Linked DNA regions of Lepisosteus oculatus. The protein of the gene in region 1 binds, or shares a complex with, the protein of each later gene. Links are inferred from orthologs where the notes say so. Each region holds a gene or a part of one and is shown in the gene's direction. Other genes may lie near its edges. The genes, in order: galr1a, gal and gnao1a.

Region 1 (7,477 bases):
TGCCGAATGACTGTTGCACTTCAGTGCTGGATTGGATCAGTTAGCTATTTATGATCCTTTAGGCTAGAAATCTCTGTGACACTATACTGTAAATAAGCGCCGTCCTTCGGATGAGACTTAAAACCGAGGTCCTGACTCTCTGTGGTCATTAAAAATCCCAGGGTGTTTCTCGTAAAGAGTAAGGGTCTAACCCCAGCTTCCTGGCCAAATTTCCCTTGCCTCCTAATAATCCCCTTCTATGAATTGTCTACATTACTTTGTTCTCCTGCCCCCTCTCCCACTCCGACAGCAGGCGGAACGAGGCGCAGGTTGGAGTATTTCTCGGTCGCAGTTAATGGCAAAGTCACCTCAAAGATTTGGTTCAAACCACTAAATGGAGACTGGTGTGCCGACAAGCGGACCCTGCTGATGCGGGATTAACACTAGGAAAGAGAGAGAGGCTGGAAATCTCTGTATAAATACACATAATTACTTAAAGCATTTTAGAAGTAAATTTCTCATTATGCTGATTAGCTGCCCCTCTGTAAGTAAAATATTGAATAATGTTGTCAAAATGGCAAACTGTTTCAGCAAAGTTGCCATCATTTCATGTTTCTATAGCTTCTGAAGTACTGCAGCTGCCACAGGTACACATTTATCATGCTGCCTTACAAAACCTATATTTCAACTACTGCACTTGACCCTGGTTTATATTAATCTTGTGCCAATACATCTGCTTCCCTGGACAGGATTGTCCTTTGGTGCTCAGTGTTTTTGGACAGGGATCGTCTTCAGCTGTGAGTGCATTTCTGATTGCTGCCCTTCTGCTTACCTGTGACACTTCTAGCACCACTGACTGTTTGACATATTGACCAAATTTCTGTCTGGTGTCGCTGCCACAAACGTATTGTTGCACAGCAATTGGAAATGTTTAGTCAAAAGGTCCACTCCATTCCTCTCACCCTCACTCACCAGTCTGTTGCCTGACATTATCATAAGAATGACTTCAAGTCACTTTTTTATAGTAAATGAGTTGCCATGGTTGTTTTTTTATAGATTAGACATTATGAAATGTCAGAAGTGACGGCAAGTTTTGTGTTTAGCAACTAAGTGCGTAGTTGACTGTTAGTGTGGTGAGGAATCAGTGCTTGTCTATAATTCAGTGTTAATGACTGTACATTCTAGTACTTGACTTACATGTGTATCATGCACTTACATACGTTAGCATGGAGTTTTAAAAAGAGTAAGGTCAGTGAATCAAGTTGTTGCTTTCTGCTATCATACTGTATGTATCCTAGGAAATACACAAAAAGCCACATTCATATTAATATTTTATTTTATTGTTTATTTAAAAAAAAGCATTTAGCAAACCTAATGTGGAAGGATGTTTGCATTAAAATAGACTTTAGTACCATATACTGATAAACATAGTATTTAATGTTTGTGATGTACTGTAAATCACATATTAAGCCACAATGTACTGCACCTCTTTTATCAAAAGCCTGTTTTTTGTTCTCATTTTTAACATAAATTGATCATAAAAATACTACGTTTCAGCCACAGAACCATATCCTACAGCATCAAACATTCTTATATTTGCCACTATAATAAAATCTAAAATCTTGTAGTTGTAAAACCATATTCTCAAGCCTTCATTTGCTTTCTGTTTAAGAGATTCTAGTCCTCTGATTATGCCCACTGATCTTTAACAGCCCTCAACTAATTGTGAGTCACAGCCACGAGTGGTGGTTAGTAATAAAGTCTAGGATCAGCAAGAATTACAATTATGTGTTTCACAGGTTTTACATATTGTTATTTTGAGATAACAGATATATCAGAATTGCTGGTAAATAAATACCATAGGTTTTCTGCAAATTATGTAATATAATAGATATACAGTACATACAGTATAGCAATCTGTACTTCAGTACATAATTCTGAGTGGCCATGAGTACAAAAACATTTCATAACATTTGGTAAATAACACATAAGTTACTTTAACATCTGGTAACATTTCATACTGTAAGTAACACAAAAGTTACTTTAACAAAAGTCATTGGGAGGCATAGTTGTGCAGAGGTTAGCACTGCTGTGCTGCAGTGCTGCAGCCTTGGACCTGGAGTGCTATCTGCATGGAGTGTGTATGTTCTTCCCGTGTTCACGTGGGTTTCCTCAGAGTCCGAATACATACTGATAGTTCAATTGGCTTCTGCGAAAATAGGCCCTGGTCTGAGTATGTGTCTGTGTTTGTGTCTGTGGTGTCCCATCCAGGGTGTACTGTATCCTGCCTTGTGCCCATTGATTGCCTGGGGTCTTGTATATCTTAAATTTTGGATTAGACCCAAAAACATTAAACTCCCAAATTATCTTATGCACTTCATCTCCAGGAAGTGTGTGTTTCTTTGCTTGCTGCATATTTTCTCTGTCGTCATTTTAATTAATTGTCACATTAAAGTGATTTTCTCCTCCTGCTAGGCTCTGGCATACGTGACACAATACTGCTGTTTCTGCTAGCTGCTTTCTTATTCCAGCTGACTGCCTGTCACACTCTGACACATTACTCATCATGCTCCTACTCCACTCTGCCCGCATCCTGCTTCAGCCTTGACGGGCTGGCATATAAGAGAAGGGCTTTAAACAGTGCCAGAACAAAAGACAGCCAAAACAAGAATCAAATATAATGGAATGACGATGAACTGGACATATAATGGCAAGGAAATGGCTGCTCTGGGATACAAAGTATAGTGTAGCATGCTAACATTTCTGTATTCAATCCGCCACACATGTGAATTATTTGAAAACTGTGACTAACAATAACAAAAAATGCCACGGGAATGAACACGTGGTGCTGGTATTATGGTTTCATGAACATATTTCACAGTGTAAATCAAGTAGTGACTGCTTTAACTCTTGGAGCAGATTAAATCACAATGTTCTCGTTAACCTAAATTACCAAAATGTTTTTAAAAAATTACAAATTGATGTTTTTATTCATATTACTGTGTTCAATTCTGAATGATGCTCAAATATGCAAATGTCTTTGCCTTAAGCACTCCATGACCTGCAACATCGCTAAAAGAAGCAGCTGTGGTCCATCGTCAGAGATACTGTTAAAACTCCGAATACAGTATGTGCAACTCTTGCGCGCAGTTGACCTCAAGCAGGACAACAATCCAGCAGAGTACAGTGTACTGTCGATGTCTCAGTAATGTGTTAACAGTTTAATACTTTAGGAAAAGGGTTGTAAGTGTTTAATTTAGCAAATAATCGGTCTAATTCCTGAGTACCAGTTTTAATTGCTCCATGCTTTACGTAGTCGGCCAGTATATACAACTTTGAATAAGCGTTGGTTTACGGTAATAGATCGTGCAGGATTCTGTCGGATCCAGGTGCGGAACACAGAACTCATACTGCGTACTCATGTCCGATGCCACTTCTAAATCCAAAATTTGGTTTCTTGTTAATGTTATTACAACGTCCACTTCACATTTACTGTCATAGATATTTATATAGGGATATACCGTCTTCGTAGTTGCTCACTTTTGTCTGGCTTCTCTGTTTTTAAATATACTATATTCACACATGTGAATAAAGAGTTTCTGGTTGACCGTATGTACAGTACAGTTTACTGATATTAGGCAATGACAAAGACATACAGTAAAACATTGTTAATCATCTGTATAGCCTCATAATTATTACCATTAAAGCATGCATCGATTTTAATAGTAAAATGTCCAAGTTATGCACAAAACAGACGAAGATATGATTTTAAAGAAAAAACATAACTTCTTTGTAGTTCCAAGAATGAATGTATTTGAAGTAAAAAGGGACCTTTAATAAAAATAAAGAAGAACTCGTTTAATAATGGAAGATATCTGAGGTATTATAAAATAAAAAAGGTTAACGTGTTTAAAGGATTAGTTTTAAATTCAAAGATTCTTTTAACAAAAAAGTACGGCAATGTAATGACTTACGCAATAGGCTTTGCTAGGGTATAACATCTCTGAGCTTTGTATTCACAAAACAACTTTATTACATTAAGACCCATGCATTTACAGCCTATTTTCGCAGTATTACGACGAATACTATTTTTTTCTAAGGAGACTCCAAGAATATTTAATTGATTAAGCAATTAAAAGCATACAGCATAATAATTATATAATAGTCTCGGTGAAATACTAACAGCTTTCCAGCGCAATGGAGACTGATATGATTTAAACATATTTAAAGAACTTTTATACTGTATGATGGTTGTAAAGCTTGTAAACTTGTTTCGCAAATGTCCTTGGAATCAATTGGTTTGATTGTTTTAAGGTAACTAAGTCTCTTTGAATGACAACCTCAAGCCGGTTTTTGCCTTAAAATAATAAAAATGGCATAGGTGCATCTCCATCTGAAGGATAAAGTGCATCATGCACATACAGTATTGGTAGACCTAGCGCCGTGGGGACTGGTTGGTGACGTCTCGACGCAGCCCACTCCTCACAGCATTTTCAGTGAGCACAGGCAGGAGAGAGGCTCTCATTAGAACCGGCAACGGGAATACAAGCATCAGGTGAAAGGGAAACATCTGGTTGAGCAAGATTCAATACAGCGGAGCCGAACAAAACCACGAGAAGAATCAAAAAGCTAATGAGAACAAAGACAAAACACCGATATGCTGAATGTACAAATTTTGCGCCTAAGGGGATGCAAATATTTGCGCATTGAAACTTTAAACATTTGGTTTATTGTAAATTCCGGAGGAGTACGCACTAAATGCGTTAACGCTTCCAATAGTACAGTCTAAAACTAAAGACCACGATGCAGCTAATGAAAATGTACCTTTACTGTTTCAAATTAAGCTGGAAAAACTGCATAATTTAATTACCTTAATAGCGGACTTTACTTGTAGATTTGTCGACTCATTCCATTCCGTTCTTCGGTTACAAAACACACTTATAAAACTTCTCAAACATGAATGTATTTTAAAATTCAGATATTTTAGGTTCCGTCCATTTGTTCACGTTTCAAAAGCGAAAGCTTTTTTTTTCCTGAAGTGATGGACGCGGCTGTTTTTCATAACCAAAGTGAAAGAGCGAGCTTTTTCAACAGAACTGACGCTCGGGAGGCTCCAACGAAACTTTTGTTCGGTATCGGCATTGACAACTTCATTACGCTTCTGATCTTCGGACTCATTTTTACACTGGGAGTGCTGGGCAACTCTATGGTGATAACGGTGCTGGCTCGCAGCAAGCCGGGCAAACCTCGCAGCACCACTAACATCTTCATCCTAAACCTCAGTATAGCCGACCTCTCCTATCTCCTGTTTTGTATCCCTTTCCAGTCCACAGTCTACATGTTACCAACATGGGTCTTGGGAGCTTTCATCTGCAAGTTCATTCACTACTTCTTTACCGTTTCCATGCTCGTCAGCATCTTTACCCTCTCTGCCATGTCTGTGGACCGCTACATTGCCATCGTGCACTCCAGAAAGTCCTCCTCCATTCGAGTGGCAAGGCACGCTCTGATAGGGGTGATTGCGATTTGGATCCTGTCTCTCGCCATGGCCGCGCCGGTAGCCCACCACCAGAACATCGTTGAAAGAGGGGGGAACAGTACGTTTTGTTGGGAAGTGTGGCCGGACCACAAGCAAAAGAAGATTTACGTGGTGTGCACCTTTGTTTTTGGGTATCTACTGCCTCTTCTCTTAATTTCCTTCTGTTACGCAAAGGTGGGTCCAAAGGATTTCTTTGATCTGTACTTCACGTAGGGCGCTCCTCATTATTTAACGCCTGTCCATCTTTAGCTTCTTTAGTTGATGATTACAGATACAGTTCATTTTTCCATTTCTGAAGTTATCATTTGAGATGATCATTTGTCACCTTACAGATATCTCGTCATTTGAGATGACATATCTGTAAGTTATGCAACGAATTTAAATCCATTTTAGGCAATTCATTCACCTTAGAACCTACCATATACTGTATGTAATATAATATACAGTAGTTGACAAAAACATTAATAAAAACTAAACTCCCGATAAGAGGAGGTGATCTCACCTCCCTTCGTTTTGTGAAATAAGCTAGGTATTCTATTCGAGTATGCTTTAATATTAAACTTTTTTTCATTATTTTGTTATCCAGTCAAAATTTTGAACGTATTATATTCTTTAGTAAGTACGAATTTGTGTGAAATCTAATACGCAATACTGTACTGAATACAGTAGCCTGCAACTTTGCCGTCATAAAATATCTGTAAATATCGCGGACTTACAGTAAAAACCTCTAATGAATGCAGATGTAAGATAAACCAACCCAAAACAGAAAAGAGTAGGAAAACGTTAATTAATAGAAGTTTTAATTCTTCACCGTTACCATTATTCTGTCTTCTTTCTTATGTCATGTTGTCTTTTTAATAATATATTAAAATGTTTTTGCAGGTTTTGAATCACCTGCACAAAAAACTAAGAAACATGTCCAAAAAGTCGGAGGCGTCCAAGAAGAAGGTAAGCGTTCTGCTTTTGCGCATAATGTGTACAAAATATGAGCAAGATTTGAATGACCCAGTAATGGATGGCAATTTTAAAAGGCAGTTCATTTGTCAGCTTTATTTCCTAACAGTAAGTAATGGAAACCATTGCACTCTTACTACATGCAGTTATAGTTTAAATGGTCCATGCATCTGTAATATAAGATGAAATAGACTAAAGTTGATAAAGTGAGTCTTAAATAGACACACTGACAAAGAAAGTGACTCGATTTATTTTGTGGATCTCCTCCATGCCTTTTACCCATTTATATGCTTTTGAATCACACCTTGGATTTTAGTCATTGCATCACTCTTTGGTGATTTTACAAAATTGACTCTCGTTTATTGTTTTTCTTACAGCTTCATTTTTCTTTGGAGATTTAAGTTAGTTTTACTCTGTGCCAACCTGAAGCAGTTGTCTTTAGTGTTGACATTATGGTTTATTGGTTTCAGATTACTCATCCTTTTCTTTATTTAATTAAGTTCTTATCAGAGAAGGTTCATTGCACTAATTAACCCTAGTTTTGATTTCGCTGTAGAGAAAAAATAGTGCACAAATAAACATGTCTAAATACATACAATGATACAGGTAGGCTTGGGCTTAAAGCAGACAAGCTTCAATTAGTTGCCTAGGTAACAGATTTGATTGTTGTGGATAAAAAGCATTAGGGGCTTGAATCCACCTTTGCCATTAAAAAAACATAAACAAAAACATTTTGTCTGTATTATACAGTATGAAATCTAATTAATAATAGTGATTATAAGGAATGCTTCAAATAAAGTTTTATCTAATAAAATGATTGTATCCCAAAGTATAGAAGATTTTTAATGTTCCTCCCCCATAATGAAATGCTGCTGAAGTGGAAGAGGCCTTCTGATGTTTATAAAAACAAAAAATGCCAGTTACTTTGTTAAAATAAAATTAAAATAAAATAATTTTTATTTAAAATAAAATGTAACTTTATAAGAAAGTACTTGTTAAATTAGA
Region 2 (7,506 bases), on another chromosome or scaffold:
TGTTTTGTGATGGAGACGGGACTGCTCTACTCTTACCACGTTTTGTGGATGACGTTTGTGCGTAAAATGCATGTTTTGGGGGGGGTATTATTGCACAAGCAAGTGCATCATCCGCGTACAGCCAGTGCGACGCATATGTCCAGCATTTGTCACTTCTGTTCCTGCAAGACAACCTTTCAACTTTGACCTTGCAGCCAGATTGTCAAGGTTTTTAACATCTTTCCAAATGCCATGCGTTCTTACAGGGAGATGGCACCAAGCGGTGAGACTAGAGTAGCACAGCAGTCTGGGGAAGTCTCGGAGAGTCGAAGTAGTTGCGTCGATCGCACAAGGCAAAACCGGTTTGGGGTTGCAAAAAAATTAAGGGTAAGCTGCAACCTTGCCAGATTTTATAACTGATGAGACGGCGCACCAAACCTTTTGCACCCAGGTACTAGCGAAACACATGTTAAAATTACTAGAAGCTTCGTTTACTCATAAAAGTGTCTGTGTGTTTTCAGGAGCTCAGCAAAGTGCTGTCCACTGTCAGCGTGGATATAGGGGGAGTTAACGAAATGATCGATGATGACGTTGACCATTTGTCCAATTACTTGGCGCACTTAAGAGGACGGCGAGTCAGGATCGCTGGGGACCACCGAATTCGGGCTTTGGCCGCGCCTCTGTCGGGAGACGAACCCTGCGCGCACAAGAATGAAGCACATTTAGGGCGCGACTTTGGGGAAGATGCCCTATGGGTTGCACATGGTGGTGAACACACAGTTATTGTATTCAAGGACAAGACTTGTACAACCAGTAAATATGGTAGTCCCCTAGACTCAAGTGTAACTGACGATTATAGAGGGTGCACAAACCAGGGAACAAAAGTAAAGGATTGCCACAGGTAATTACTTTATCATCATTGTAGTCAGCACTGTTGAGTCAGTGCTGTTTTTTTGGGTTGCTGTAACAACATATTTCGATAGTATCCAGATAATTATCTTTATGTTTTTAATGATAATACGGTATTAGTAGTCTACCAGAATATCTGAAAAAAATTCAGGTGGGTAGCTGCGTCAGCACGCGAAGGCTGCAAAGGAACAAGTAATAGGTTTATTCCATGCTGAAAAAAAGAAGAAAGAAAACAACATTTCGGCCGTGGAGCCTTCTTCAGAGGCTCTGGATTATCTGAAAAAATGTCACTGTTGTTTTCCTTATTCTGTACACCTTCAGGACTGTTTTTTTATTTGGTAACTTTAATTCTGAAAGAAGAAGTCAGTTTGATCTAAGTAATTTCACTTCCCTTACACTTACCTTAAAGATATGAAATGTCATTTAGTAGCCATGCCCTGTGTGTGTTGTACCTGGAACTATGGGATAAAGTGTATAAAATATCATGTTAATGGACCTTTCATTGATTTGGCTGATGCTAATGTGCTGCAGTTCTTTCTAGGAGTGCACCGCCCAGTGACTTGCTTGACAGGTCTCACGAATGTGTTCGCATTAGCCTCAACATCCACATGAAAGCAGGCAGCCAAGGCGCAGCACTGAAAGGGCCCTGTGATGGAGTCGACAGTCTGCCACGCAGCTGGGCAGAGGATGTTCAGAATGCTGCAGTGGTGAGCAGGGACGGCTCTGCCCAGGCGCGTGCAGCAGGGATGCAGGGGGCAGAGAAAGTGAGCCCAAACCCAGTGGATTGTGAGAAAGATCAGGAAGAGGACACTGCGCCAGAGAGCACAGCTTTATCACAAAGATCACACAGTGCGCAGAGCTCTCAGAAGAACATACAACGATTTCCTCACATAATATGCTTCACCACTCTATCTTGTATTTTATTGGTGCTTTCTTTCTACTGTATTTGTTACCGGAGTTACATTTGCTTCGCGACACAGTATTTCACCCCTAAGGGAATGAAACCAACATAAGTGTATGTAGAATAAAAATCAGAGCGTTGAAGTGGGCTTTTGTGATACTTGTGAGTCCTTTATCTGAAAAATGGGTTGGTGAGAGCTTTAATAGGCATTCAACTCTGCTTTTAGCCTACTCTAAAACAATGTTCATTGAACACTTTCCCAGGTATGAAGGCCAGCATGAAATGAAATATCTCAGATCTTATAATATGTGTTTTAGCTTAATAATGTGAGGGAAATGAACACCACCACAAACTTTTTTGCTACAAATGTCAATCTTGAACATACTGTACTAATCACCTGGAGTGTAAAACATCTTTGTGCTGCCTTGTAGAGGAATTGAGTGTCTAAACCAGTGCCTGGGGTATCCTGTCTCGCTCTCTGTCACCCATTTAATTCATTCATTTAACTGCTTTATCCAATTCAGGGTCGCGGGGGAGATGAAACCTATCCCAGCAATCAATTGACACAAGGCAGGATACACCCTGGATGGCACGCCAGTCCAGATATAGACACGTTAACACCAGGGTCAATTTTCCAAGAAGCTAATTTACCAGTATGTTTTTAGACAGTGGGAGGAAACCCACACAAACATGGGGAGAGCATACAAACTCCACACACATAGAACACAAGGGTTTGAACCCAGAGCTGCAGGGCAGCAATACGAACCCCTTCAGCATCGTGCTACGCCTCTCGGATTTGTCAGACAAAGAAAAAAATCTTGAGGCTAAAGATTGGGAGGCAGTAGATGGTACATTAGCTGGAACCCAGCTTTGTTCCAAAAGCAAGTAACTGGTATCAGTTCACAGGGGTTGGCGAGGAAAGTATTGTATCATTAAACCAAAAAGGACAGTCTAGGCACCTAAGTATTACCTTGATATAAACAGTGCAAATTATTACTTCTGAAGACTGCACAGCTGCAGTCGCAACAAGGGTGAAAGAGCCTTTGCATTTTCTCAATAAACATAATGAGGTGACTGACAATAATAATAACGTATTTAATACACTTAGTCTTTTTATGCATGAGTCCACAAAATAATGTTTGTTGTGTGAACAGTGGACATATTTACATTGGACAATGGAAGTGTGTGCAGATGGCTCATAGTGCCATCTATTTCAGTATGGGCAGCACTGGTAGCCCAGGTGCAGCAATTTCATCCAGTCTCCCAAAACCAGGCAGGTTAGGTTAGATTAGATTAGTTACCCTGTAATGTTCCTTTCCTTGGGCTGCTTTTTCACCCCAGTTTAACCGGTACTGGCTGAACTACAGAGAAAGGAACCAGCTGAACACAATGAGTGGATCCTCTCAATCCTCTGTGTCTTTTCTGGTGTTCTGAATAGAACCAGTTAGCCTAGTGTTAGTTATCCCTAATTAATGTGACTCATAATTAAGTCTAATGCTGTCATTTACAGCCCATGATATAATTACCGAGCATTGTATAAGTTACAATCGACAACAACCAATCGTCCTTCAGGGAAATAACCCATAGGTAACTTGTAGACATTTATCTTTTTCTATATACATTTCTCCTTAGGTCCCTGTAGCGTTAAATACAGAACTGGGACACAGCTATAGAAACATTTTAAAGATGTTTTTGTATGAGATATGTCGTTTCATTTTATTAAAAATTCATCAAGTCGTATAGTGTCGTCTGGGCAGTTCATACTCGGACTTTAGGGATAGCCCCACTGGACATCAGCTTTGCCCAAAGCAAACGTTAAAAATACCAAATTTCTGTTCAACAAAATGTCAGTTCCCCAGCTACCAGATAGACTTAATAGTCTTCGAGGTAATCATTTTCTCAATTTATTGCATTTGTAAATGGCAGGTTTGAGTCTCATCATATACTTAATTCGTATTACGTATTATATTCTCTTTTAAAAGTTTAATAATGTATTTAATCGGAGCAGGATCATTTAATAATCAAATGATTAATTAAGTTGTTAGCATTATAGACAGTAAATTGTTCTGCTGTACAGATCAACTTCTTAGATCTTGTGAGCGTCTGTAACTGTGCTCAGCACCATTGAGAAGGGCTTTTCACAAGCATTTTATTGCTGCTTGTTATTCCAGAATACACTATTCTCTAAAAACCGGTTCATGTCTCCATGTCACGATGTTTCATCACGTGGGATTTGATGCACAAACTTTTTAATGAAGCCAGTGACGATCAGAAGACCCCTACGCATCCTGCCATAAGTCCAAATTTAGCCAGAGTAATTAAGGTGAATGTAGACCTTGCTGTTTTCCCGTACTCTTTTGTGTTGCCGTTGAACACGGGGAAAGTTACGTGTTATGTGTCATGCATCCCGCGAGTTACTTTTCCTTCTCTATTGTAATACGTGACGTAATCAGGTACCGTAGCTCGCGTAAGCGTTACCCCCAAGGTAAGCTCTATACAGCCAAATGCTAACCCAATGCAATTATCCGGCTGTTATCCATCTTCGGCTCTTAAATCACTTCCATGAGAACATAATTGCATTGCAGCAATTTTTTCTTATCCACATGTACTGATGGGAGGGGAACGGGAGGAAATTAGGGGTGACGTCTAACCCGAGAAGCTGGGGGGACATCAGTTTATTTTTCTTGGCGGGGGTAGGGGAGAGGTAAATAAAAGCCACCGATAGACCTTACCCATTCCATCCGAAATTCCCGGCACCGAGAGCAGAATGGAAGAAAATATATTGTAATACTCGCATTTCTCTCTCTATTAACTGTCTGCTGAAATTCCACAAACCAACTCTTCACCTGATTTCTGGAAAGAGGCACTTACAAGTAGCAAACTTTTCAAGGTAAGATTTTAAATCTTGTACTGGTTCAGGGAATTAACAATAAATTCGCAGCCAAGCGAGCATCGAGCGAGATTTTGGAGAAACATCTGCCTTTGCCAAATAACATCGTAATGTACTTCGCTACAGTAATATTACTGAGAACAAATATTTATTTTGTTTTTGTACTTAATTCACGATGAAGTGGGCAAAGTCCTGAAAGTGACATTTATATTACAACGAATAATCCTAGCTGCCGCACTGCAGGCTGAAGATACTGTGTAAAATAATTAAATACTGTTTAAAACTACACCAGGCCAGAGAGAAAGTTTTTAGCTTAAAAGCGTATTGATGTGTGAGTCTTAAACTCTTCCACCCCTGTTTCTCTACAGATGCAGAAGTGTTTTGGTGTTCTTTGCGTATCACTTGTACTGTGTGCCACCCTGTCAGAGACGTTTGGATTGGTTCTTTCGGTATTTCTTCCAGATTTTCTTTTGTTATAATTATTTATGCAGTATGCTGTCTAAAATGTGCTCCCGATTTATCGTTTTACCGAGGAGCTTATCCTGTGCAAGTAGAAGGTTTTCTTTTCATTAACTTGACTGATACTGGTTTGTCATCCTGCGTGCTTCCTTGCATCCTGGTTGTCTATGTGACTTGCCGAGGGATATAAACTAAGAGAAATATTCATTTTGTCTATATTATCTAAAATTACACTGTCTTGCAAAAATGTAACTTAAATTCATTAAACCCTTAAAACCATACCTCACAACTTCATTGTTCTAGACCTCGATGAAGCAGTCAAACATTATTTTTATTTTGGCACTATATTTCAATACAGTATTTTAGTTATACTGTAGTAGTATGTGAATAGGGAGCTTTTAAAAAATCCTCTTAAAACGCAATAATTGCCCATGATTGCAACTAATCTGTAGGAAATTTAGACACCTGAGAAATATTATCCTGTTATTGTAATTGTTCTGAAGCGTATGCAGCTCATAATAGCAAGTCCATTAGACTTTTATTAGAACAATTATATCTTACAGAGAAGAAATATTTGAATGCTAATTAACTGCAATGTTACCTGCGTCTTGAAACTTCCTGCAGCAATTATGTAGTTGCTTTGCAATGGACAAAATACAACTGTACGAGATAATAAGATGCTTATTGCCTTTAATTTTAATAGAGAGTGTTAGGACTCGTATATTAAATTTGTTACATGCAGCAGTATATGGCCCAATCTTGATTTTCCACTATATTATTACTCCCTAGAGTGACACAACAGAAACTGTTATGAAATAGTCACGTTAATATGTCAGCGATCTTTTGCTTGAAATGTGCTGGATTATATTTAAATATCAGTGGCTCCGTCAATGCACTCAGAAGTAGGCAAATATCTGGATAACTTAATTATGAGTTCCTGAAGATATGTCATTTCAGTAATAATTTGTCACATAATTAAAGTAATTTTTAAAATGAATGCATTACCTCCAGCAGGTAAAATCATCTTTCTGAGGAGCTAACACTGAGGGATCTGCAATGAACAAGATCAATTAATTTTTTGTCTAGCATTTATAGAGACTTGGCAAGTAATTATAGAGCCAAGTTTAGAAAACAAATTGAATTATATATACTGTAAGTGGGGAACTTTTCCCTGTGCAATACTACGATCTGCTTTTGCATCACAAGGATGAGATCAGCAGTCCAGGTCTTCGAGACTGATGCTTAAATCTGACACAGAATAAGAATGATGAATCAGGATGGTCAGGTTTAATGAAAAGCTTTTGTGTTCAGTTCTCTTATGTCATGTGAATAGCCAGGCTAAAGCCTGGTAACTTTTTGTTGAAGAGGTGGACAGAAACTGTAGGTTACCTTCTTCCACAAAGCATTACACTTCAGCGGATAATAACCATTAATACAACCAGACGCCTGTTGATTTACTCAACCACATTTACATTTCTTACACAGACCACTTGCTGCTGCAAATCCTCATATCAAAGAGCATTTGATCACATTCATTTCCTTGGTGTACAGATTTACTTGACACCAAGGTCATTTCCAGCCAGTCCTTCTCTGGCTGCTCCACAGTTGAGTGGAATTAATTCTTATTCAAAAGGAAAACATTTTGACACAAACAATGTTATCGGATTTATGTGCCAATCTGTCCATTTCTCTTTTAGAAGAACGTGTTTAGTATATTGTTAGATAAGCAGATAAGTAATGTTTAATGTTTAATACAGTCAGTAGAATCATGTGCATGTATGGCAGTATTGTGGTATGGTGTATAGCACTGCTGCATCATGATCCTGGATTTCATTTCTGTGCTTAAATAATATCCAGGCATTCTGTGCTAAAGAGGCGCATTTACACGACATCTGTTAAATTGTCTGCAGACTCTGTAATGTTTTATTACTCTTTTATTGCACTTATGTTTCTGTTCATGATGCTACGCAGCAACTGGCTCTTGCTGCATTATCTCCATTTGTGACAAAAATGACTTTTTGTTTCTCCCTCTTGAAGGCGAAGGAAAAGAGAGGCTGGACTCTGAACAGCGCCGGGTATTTACTGGGGCCTCGTGAGTAAAAGCTATTTTTGTGATCACACTTTGGGTTAGAGGTTGTAAAATTACACTTTATAAATGGATAGTAAGTCAGCTGTTGGTATTATAGATGAAAGAAACTACTTTCTGCAAATAACCATGGGATTAGGTTTTGTGCTGTTAGTCAGGCTTGAATCAGAGTTTAGTTACTGTTATGCAAGTAAGCTACAAAAAAGGTTGGTTATTATTACATTTATATCTCTCTTTTGATACATTATTAATATATTCCATGTCTAAAACATTTATAAATTG
Region 3 (6,983 bases), on another chromosome or scaffold:
GAAATTTCAGAAAACCAGTGAAGTGTGAGAATTCCTCGTCTCAATGTTGACCCATTTCTGCACAGAGCTATCCCAGAGAGCTCTTGGATTGGTCAGTCTAGCTCGGTTTTACTGCAGAGACTTCTTAGGTGGCAACCCTGTGAGATGTCCACAGACAAAAACTGCATTAATGCAGTTTATTTGCAAACGTGGCAATTTATATTTAGGTGACTTACTAAGGAAACTGTTTTTTCATGAATGGCGGGGACTTGTTTCCCGGAGAATGAGGAGGATTTAGGATTTAGTGATGCCTTTCTGTGAACCACATTAATATCAGGTATTGTTTTCTTTAGTGAAAGCCGTGCAAATCAGTTTAATTCACCAAATTAAATTTTAGCTTTTTTTGGATTACAAAGCCTGGACTCTTGAACGCAGTGAGTCTTAGACTCTTTTTTTTTTTACTTAAGGTTTTTCTTATGGTAATTTACAGCTGATCACTCAACACGTTCATTCTTTTAAAGTTAGTCTTAACTAAAGTGTAGATCACCTCAAATGATCTGGGCCGAAGTGTTACAGTGTTGTAGCCAATGATATAATTAGACTAGCTGTGTAGCTGAGAGCTCTGGTGGGGTTTTATATCCTTTGCCTTTAGATGGGCTATGGAAACCCCAGACAGCTGAAAGGTGTTGCAGCTGAGGGATCCTGTGCTGTTGGTGACCAGAGCTACACTAATCTGTCTGTCCTGCTCATCACTGACATCCCTTGAATATACTCCAAGCACCAGGCAGCCTTGGAGACTAGCTTTTACCACTAAAAACAAGACGTGGCTCAAGTGCAAAGAACAGGTTTAATCAGTTTTATTAGAAATAGTAGGTATAGTGGTATTTTTAAGGTATTGTTAGATATAACAACAGTGCATTATTTGCTTCTTGTTAACTGCAGACTCTTTAAACATCAAGTCCATCCTGTTTTCAATTTATTCTACCATTCCTTGAAAGTAAAAATAAATGGCCTTTCTCTGATTTTTTCATGCGTTTTCATTTATTTTCACATGCCACTGTGGTATAGGCTTGGCAGCTGTCATTAAGAGAGCCCTACCCATATGGTTCATTACGGGTCTCTGCTTGGCCTACCACAGTGCCATTACCCAGCCTGCTCTGGGATGCCAGGGGAACTTCTCGGAGTGTGGTGCAATGACAAGAGTGAGGCCTGGGCACAGGGCATCACTTCCTTCTGCTTCCTTAACGTCTTGATCACACGTAGTCTGATATCCTGAATCTTTTCACTTGGGCTTGTAGGTAAGCCCAAGCTTATACAAAAATGCCAGATGCAGATATATGTGATATCCAGAAATTAAATGATTACCTTACCCAGGCACCTTGTGACTGCAAGGTGCTACATGAGCAAACTTACTTCTCCAACACCGATGATGGTGACAATAACAATGATAATAATAAGAAAGAGAAGTAGACAAAGCTTGTTTAAACAAATGCTAGCTGCTTGCTGTGAAGGTTAGAGAGCTTCATACTGGTTGGCCACAGGAAATCGAGGGCACTCGGGTCCCAGGCAGGCTGGCCGCCCTGCGAGGGGGTCAGATCGCGTGTGAGAGCCTGGGAGGGGCAGGAGGAAGAAAGATGGCCAGCTGGCAGGATTCGTGCCCTCTGGGAAAGCTAGGGAGGAGTCTGAAACCAGGCTTACTACTGGCATGTGCATTACAATGGTTTTTTTTCATGATTGTGCAATTAATCAATTAACCAATCACACACTCGGGCAGACAGAAGTAACACTGGGGCTAATAACTCCCTGGGTCTCCTCTCTCTTGTACAGACCAACAGTACACAGATCACATGTGGAATCTACTGGGTTCTGAATGATGACACAGCTTCAAACTACACAGGTAACCACTGCACAGACATTCATGGCTTGGGACACAGTTTTCAACAGTTTTTAGGTGCACTTTTAAGTTACTATTAGAGAAAGAGCTGTGACTTTCATGCAATTTACAGTGCTTGCAGCTTCATGTCCTAATACTATAGAGATGCTATTTTAAATGTACAAAGCCTGAACACCCTGATCTATAGACTACAGAATTCTCTCAGTTTAAATCCGGCAGCTCAGACACACAGGAGGCAATCAGGTCGAAGGAGAAAACATTTCAGTGTCGATCTGGTATCATCCTGAAAAAGAAAGACTCCCAGCAATAGGAGGTCATTAAACTGCTCCAGATGAATGAAGAAACGGATACAGTTTTCCCCCGCAGCCTGGACAGACAAGGGCTCCCTGGATTTTGATATGTCTGGTAATGCATACTGAACAAATCTGCTTAGGAAAGATCATGTATTACAGAGCAGATTCTGCAGCACAAAACATCTCCCAACAGCATATTTTTGAGCAGTTAAAAGGAAAATTCCTTGTGCTGTTTATTACAATATCACTTTTATGAATCAGAAGTAGAGTTCTTGTTTCACTTCAAACTTTGACAAGACAGATAATGGCTTTCAGAGTTGTGTGGGGACTGTTTTCATTAACAGGCAATTATAAAATAAATCAAACTCAATTAAGCTCATGCTGTGTTCATTTTGGTCTTACATATTGTAGGTAGTGCTTCTGATGCAGAGCAGTAAGCACGCATAGTATCTAGAAGTCCTGTCAGCAATAGCAGACTCTCCCACAGGTGTTAAGTTAATCAATCTGTCGTCTTCAGGGCATGAGGAGAGGAGCACCAGGTTTCTGGGACACAACGGATCATGTTTTAGAAACATATTGATTAGTTTTTGTCTGTGGATTTGTTGTGGTTGGGGACTAGTCTCGTGTGTCATGACCATGTAATGGGATTCGATTTGGGAGCTTTGGAAACGGAGAAAAACAAAGCAGGTCTTCCTGCATTTCTGTAAATGGTGGCTGTTAAGATGGCGAAGCTAACTAACGCCACTTCCTTCGCGCGCACAACCATCACTTTCTCTGGGAAAATGTTTCTACTGAACCGAATAGCACTTGTAGAAGGAGTCAGTCCAGAGCTCTAACCAGCATGCAAAGGTGCTCTACATCAGTTGTGTTCGTGTATGTAGGCAAGACTGCACGTACCATAGATTTACAACACGAATAGTCACATTTTATTGCCTGTCTTAAAAAAGTGCCACCTCCTCTCATTCAGAAACAAACGCTTTTGTATTTAAGGCCTAGCACTTGATCCCGGAGCCGCAGTAATCCTGTAGCTCCAGTGCGCGTGTTCGTTGTCGCAGCCAGGAGAGGTCAAAGTGCGCTTTCTGTCCTCGAGCAGAGCGATCGGATGAGCTTTGAGCTTTCAAAACTCACGTGATGCCACACAGTACAGTCATTTTCTTATGACTGGACGAAAGGTGCGCGTATCCCTTGATAACAAGTTATATTTCACTAGTAACAGACTTCTGCAGAATTTTACGGACCATTTCTGTAAAATAAACTTGATTTAGTGAGGGAGCAAACTCCCACAAGGCTGAGTTTCTAGAAAGGTATTACCGATGGACCTACGTGTAGATCAGGACTCGGGGGCGCAACACCCTTTCTCAACTTTTTTGTAAATTTCAGTTTACTCTTTGCACGACTGCACAGCACGACAATAACGCAGCCGAGAGTAAGGGATCTCTCTGCAATAGATTAGCTGGAGTTATAATTGACAATTCTTCTAAGCCTCAAAGCGGTTTTGCGATTCTCCCATGACTAAACAACTCGAAATAAAACAAAATAAAGAAATGATTTCAATAGTCGTCATGGTACGCTCTACAGAAGGGGGCTCTCTTTTAAATATCCCGTGTCAATAATCGAAGTCCTCCAGAGAGCTTCGCTAGACCACACCTCGGTGCGAATACGCCCGGCCTGCACAGACACCTTCCCGGACACAATAGAGCACAAAGCTCCAGTCTGCACCCCGCACACTCGGGACGTTTTCAGAGAACGACAGTGACAACGGCTACTCGCACAGGCGGGTCACTCGGGGGCGATCCCGCTCCTCAAAGCTCGTCCTTAAACAGGAGAAGCAGCGACAAAAGGGAGGGGAGAGGTCCTTCCCTCTGGATGGAGACGGTTAACGGTACTATCAGGATGCTCGCCGGAGCATGCTCGCTCGGTTTCTGACGTCAGTGAAATTGTCAGGGAGCACTGAGTCTGGCGCACTCTCCCTCCTGCCTCTCCATTGTGAACAGCTGAACGATGCGATCGCTCGCAGCCATCGCCGCCGCCCATTAGAGACCCCCAGCCCGAGCACCGAGCAGACGGACCCCCGAGAGAGAGAGAGTGAGCCCAGCCTTGTTCAGACCCGTGCCAACTGTAGTCGATCCGGTTTTTAATGCGTTAGTCGCCGAGAGACGGAGGGAGAGCGAGCGAGCGAGCGAGAGAGAGAGCGAGCGAGTGAGCGAGCGAGAAAGAGAGGGTACAGGGAAGAAACAGAAAAAAGGAGGATTGCTTGCTTTGATACCTTGCGTCTTTTTGGAAAGAAAAAGAGAGCCGAGATTTCCTAACCATGGGATGTACTCTGAGCGCCGAGGAAAGAGCCGCTTTGGAGAGGAGCAAAGCCATCGAGAAAAACCTGAAAGAAGACGGAATCACTGCCGCAAAAGATGTGAAATTACTCCTGCTAGGTAAGGCTGTGCTACGCTGACAAGCCCGGCTGTGGCCACTGTGGCTGTCGCCCATTCAGACCCTGCAGGCGAGAGAGAGCAGTCCCGGCGTTAGCGCGGCTGCTCGTCTGGCTCTAATCTCGTTTATCTCCTTACAACACAACACTGACGGCCCTTTTTATTCTGTGTTTTTATCCCAACAGGGGCAGGGGAATCAGGCAAAAGCACCATCGTGAAGCAGATGAAGTAAGTGGGCTGGTGTTCATGTCTTTTCGCCTTTAACACGGGCTGTGATTTTTTTTCCTCTCTTCGCCCCACCAATCGCCCCCCACCCCCCGACTCCCCTCCCCTCCCTGTCCATTCTCACCCTAGTCCGGTTGGCTAATACTTAGGTCCGCCATATTTTTCAAGGAATTATGATCGTTTTAGCACCGATCGAGCGCACCTAGCAACGCAGGCTTCGGAGACAAATTGGCAATGTGTGAGGCTTGGCCGTGAACGAATGCGTGTGCTGTTCACGGTAATGGTGCTGAAAAAGCAGAGAAAACCCTCGGTTTCGCGTGTGATCGCCGTGCGTGTGGAGCGGGAGGCGAGCGGTTGTAGCCCGCCGGAGAGCCATTAGGAGCGCACCTCTTCTCTCTTAAGCTTAATGCCTCGGTTTGAGCGCTCATCCCCCACCAGTTTCTGATCTCCTGACACGGGCTTGGAGAGTTCGCTCCCTCACATTCATTTAAAAAATCTGCCTATAATAAGGATTTAACTGGGGCAGAGATCTGCCATTTAAAGCCCCGTTTAGTGGAGATTTCAGGATTTCCCCCCCACGCCAGCTATTAAAACGGCCACGGGGGTGGTGGCAGCGCTTCCATTGTAAAAAGCAAATTGGAGTGTATTGTGTGTGTGGATCGCACACAAGCACACAGATACTGCGCGCAGACGAGAGTGTGAACTCGCGTGTGTGGAAGAACAGCACCCGAACCTGTCATCAGATACGGCCATTTTTTAATCTCACCCAGCCCAAGACAACCGAGTGCTCCTGCCTGCCTTCTAATTTCTCTTCTTCGTGTCTCATGTTGCGACCAGCAGGACAGCTCGGCTAGATTAGCCCATTTTTAGTGTAGTTCGCGCTAATAATAATAATAATAATAATAATAATAATAATAATAATAATAATAATACGTGGATGTATAATAAAGCACATACATCTGTTGTGTCTGAAGGGAACCGTATGTATGGCGCCTGATTAGAAACAAAGTGGGATTTTGGAAATAACGGTACTGTGTACTGAGCCTGCGGGTACTCGGCTGAAAACCGCCCCAGTGCCTTTGCCCGAGACGGGTTGAGTTCCCCTCTTCCCCTTTTGTGACATTCACATTTGTTCCTTGTAAATCGGTGGCTCAGTCTGCAGGTATGTACCTGTCGGTAGTAAAGCCAATTGTAAAAATAAGCCCGTATTGCAATGGCAGCAGGGCCCCTTCTGCGTTTGTGAGGGGAAGATCAGAGGATTTCAGGCGGTTGAGGTGGTGGACAGCGCCCAGCAGCGCCTGTTCGCTCAATCGTTGGAATTCGGAAACACTCGGGTGCTGTCGGGTATGGGTTCACCTACCGAGAAGGAGCGCTTGGAAAGGAGGGGGGATTCGGAGCGGATTTCTGCTGCATTCGGAGGCGTTCGGGCGTGTTCAGAGAGCCCGAGGTTGAGAGGGAAAGAGGAAAAGTCCGTAGAGTATTCTCTGCTTCGCCGGAGAACGGCAGTGGAGTGTGGATCGGGATTGTTAAAGCGAAATAAAAAACAAGATCCCATAGCAGGCAGTGTTGGGTTGTAGCGAAAGTGCTCAAGCAGTCTCCAGGCTTTATTAAGACAGGGAAAGGTAGGCTTTCAGGCGAGGTCTTGATATTACCAGTGCAATAACGTACCAACACTGTTAACTGTATGTAACAAAAACAAACCTGTTCGCCCGTCATTTATGAAATGACAACTTGTGACAATTAAATTTAATTCACAACCAGCCTCGGCAGATCTGCTTTTAAAACTCCTGCCTTGTGTTTGTAGATGAATGGGAGCGACAGTTAAAGACAACATTTGCATAGAAAGCGGCATTAAACCGTCGTTGTCCAAATTCTAGAGAATTGATCTCCCCCCGACATCTGTTTGGCTAAAATCAATGGATTGTGATTGTTTTTGTGTGGGAGCAAAAAAAAAACCCAACTGAAAGGGATAAGGGGTGTTGAAGCAGTTTCTGTATTGCTGGGGATAAGGGTGTGTTAACATCAAAGAATCTGGTCAGAGTCAGGAACTGAGCGAGTCCTGACAGTCAGTTGGGCTATGGTCAGTGGACCCATCCACTGAGGGGGAACTGTACTTCCACCACCTTTGGACAGACCAGTGCAGGGGGAGGTGCTGGTGAATCTTGG

Evidence for each region.
Region 2: the proteins of galr1a (region 1) and gal are in contact, whole or in part, in a cryo-EM structure (PDB 7WQ3), measured with the Homo sapiens proteins. The link is inferred for Lepisosteus oculatus from reciprocal best matches to the Homo sapiens genes GALR1 and GAL. Residues at the interface, in NP_001471.2 of Homo sapiens: Glu32, Gln92, Thr94, Val95, Tyr96, Leu98, Pro99, Thr100, His112, Gln174, Phe177, Arg180, Gln184, Phe186, Cys187, Trp188, Glu189, Gln190, Ile266, His267, Ala270, Phe275, Leu277, Ser281, Phe282, Arg285; in NP_057057.2 of Homo sapiens: Gly33, Trp34, Leu36, Asn37, Ser38, Gly40, Tyr41, Leu42, Leu43, Gly44, Pro45, Val48.
Region 3: the proteins of galr1a (region 1) and gnao1a are in contact, whole or in part, in a cryo-EM structure (PDB 7XJJ), measured with the Homo sapiens proteins. The link is inferred for Lepisosteus oculatus from reciprocal best matches to the Homo sapiens genes GALR1 and GNAO1. Residues at the interface, in NP_001471.2 of Homo sapiens: Thr70, Arg133, Ala136, Ile137, Ser140, Arg141, His226, Leu227, Leu231, Asn233, Ser235, Lys236, Lys237, Ser238, Ala240, Ser241, Lys244, Thr245, Thr248, Leu306, Ser307, Glu308, Asn309; in NP_066268.1 of Homo sapiens: Ser264, Asn316, Glu318, Tyr320, Asp337, Asp341, Ile343, Ile344, Ala345, Asn347, Leu348, Arg349, Gly350, Cys351, Gly352, Leu353, Tyr354.

Annotation. Positions count from the first base shown.
Region 1 is NC_090705.1:18,592,322-18,599,798, reverse strand, and holds the start of galr1a (galanin receptor type 1), read left to right. Parts: upstream 1-4,461; 5' UTR 4,462-5,020; coding exon 5,021-5,692; intron 5,693-6,400; coding exon 6,401-6,466; intron 6,467-7,477. UniProt on the Homo sapiens protein: Receptor for the hormone galanin. The activity of this receptor is mediated by G proteins that inhibit adenylate cyclase activity.
Region 2 is NC_090716.1:11,820,918-11,828,423, forward strand, and holds the start of gal (galanin peptides), read left to right. Parts: upstream 1-4,483; 5' UTR 4,484-4,679; intron 4,680-5,047; coding exon 5,048-5,128; intron 5,129-7,175; coding exon 7,176-7,230; intron 7,231-7,506. Other genes in the region: uncharacterized protein, read left to right, coding at 232-366, 501-880, 1,430-1,901. UniProt on the Homo sapiens protein: Endocrine hormone of the central and peripheral nervous systems that binds and activates the G protein-coupled receptors GALR1, GALR2, and GALR3.
Region 3 is NC_090715.1:1,057,341-1,064,323, reverse strand, and holds the start of gnao1a (guanine nucleotide binding protein (G protein), alpha activating activity polypeptide O, a), read left to right. Parts: upstream 1-3,909; 5' UTR 3,910-4,477; coding exon 4,478-4,595; intron 4,596-4,777; coding exon 4,778-4,820; intron 4,821-6,983. UniProt on the Homo sapiens protein: Guanine nucleotide-binding proteins (G proteins) function as transducers downstream of G protein-coupled receptors (GPCRs) in numerous signaling cascades.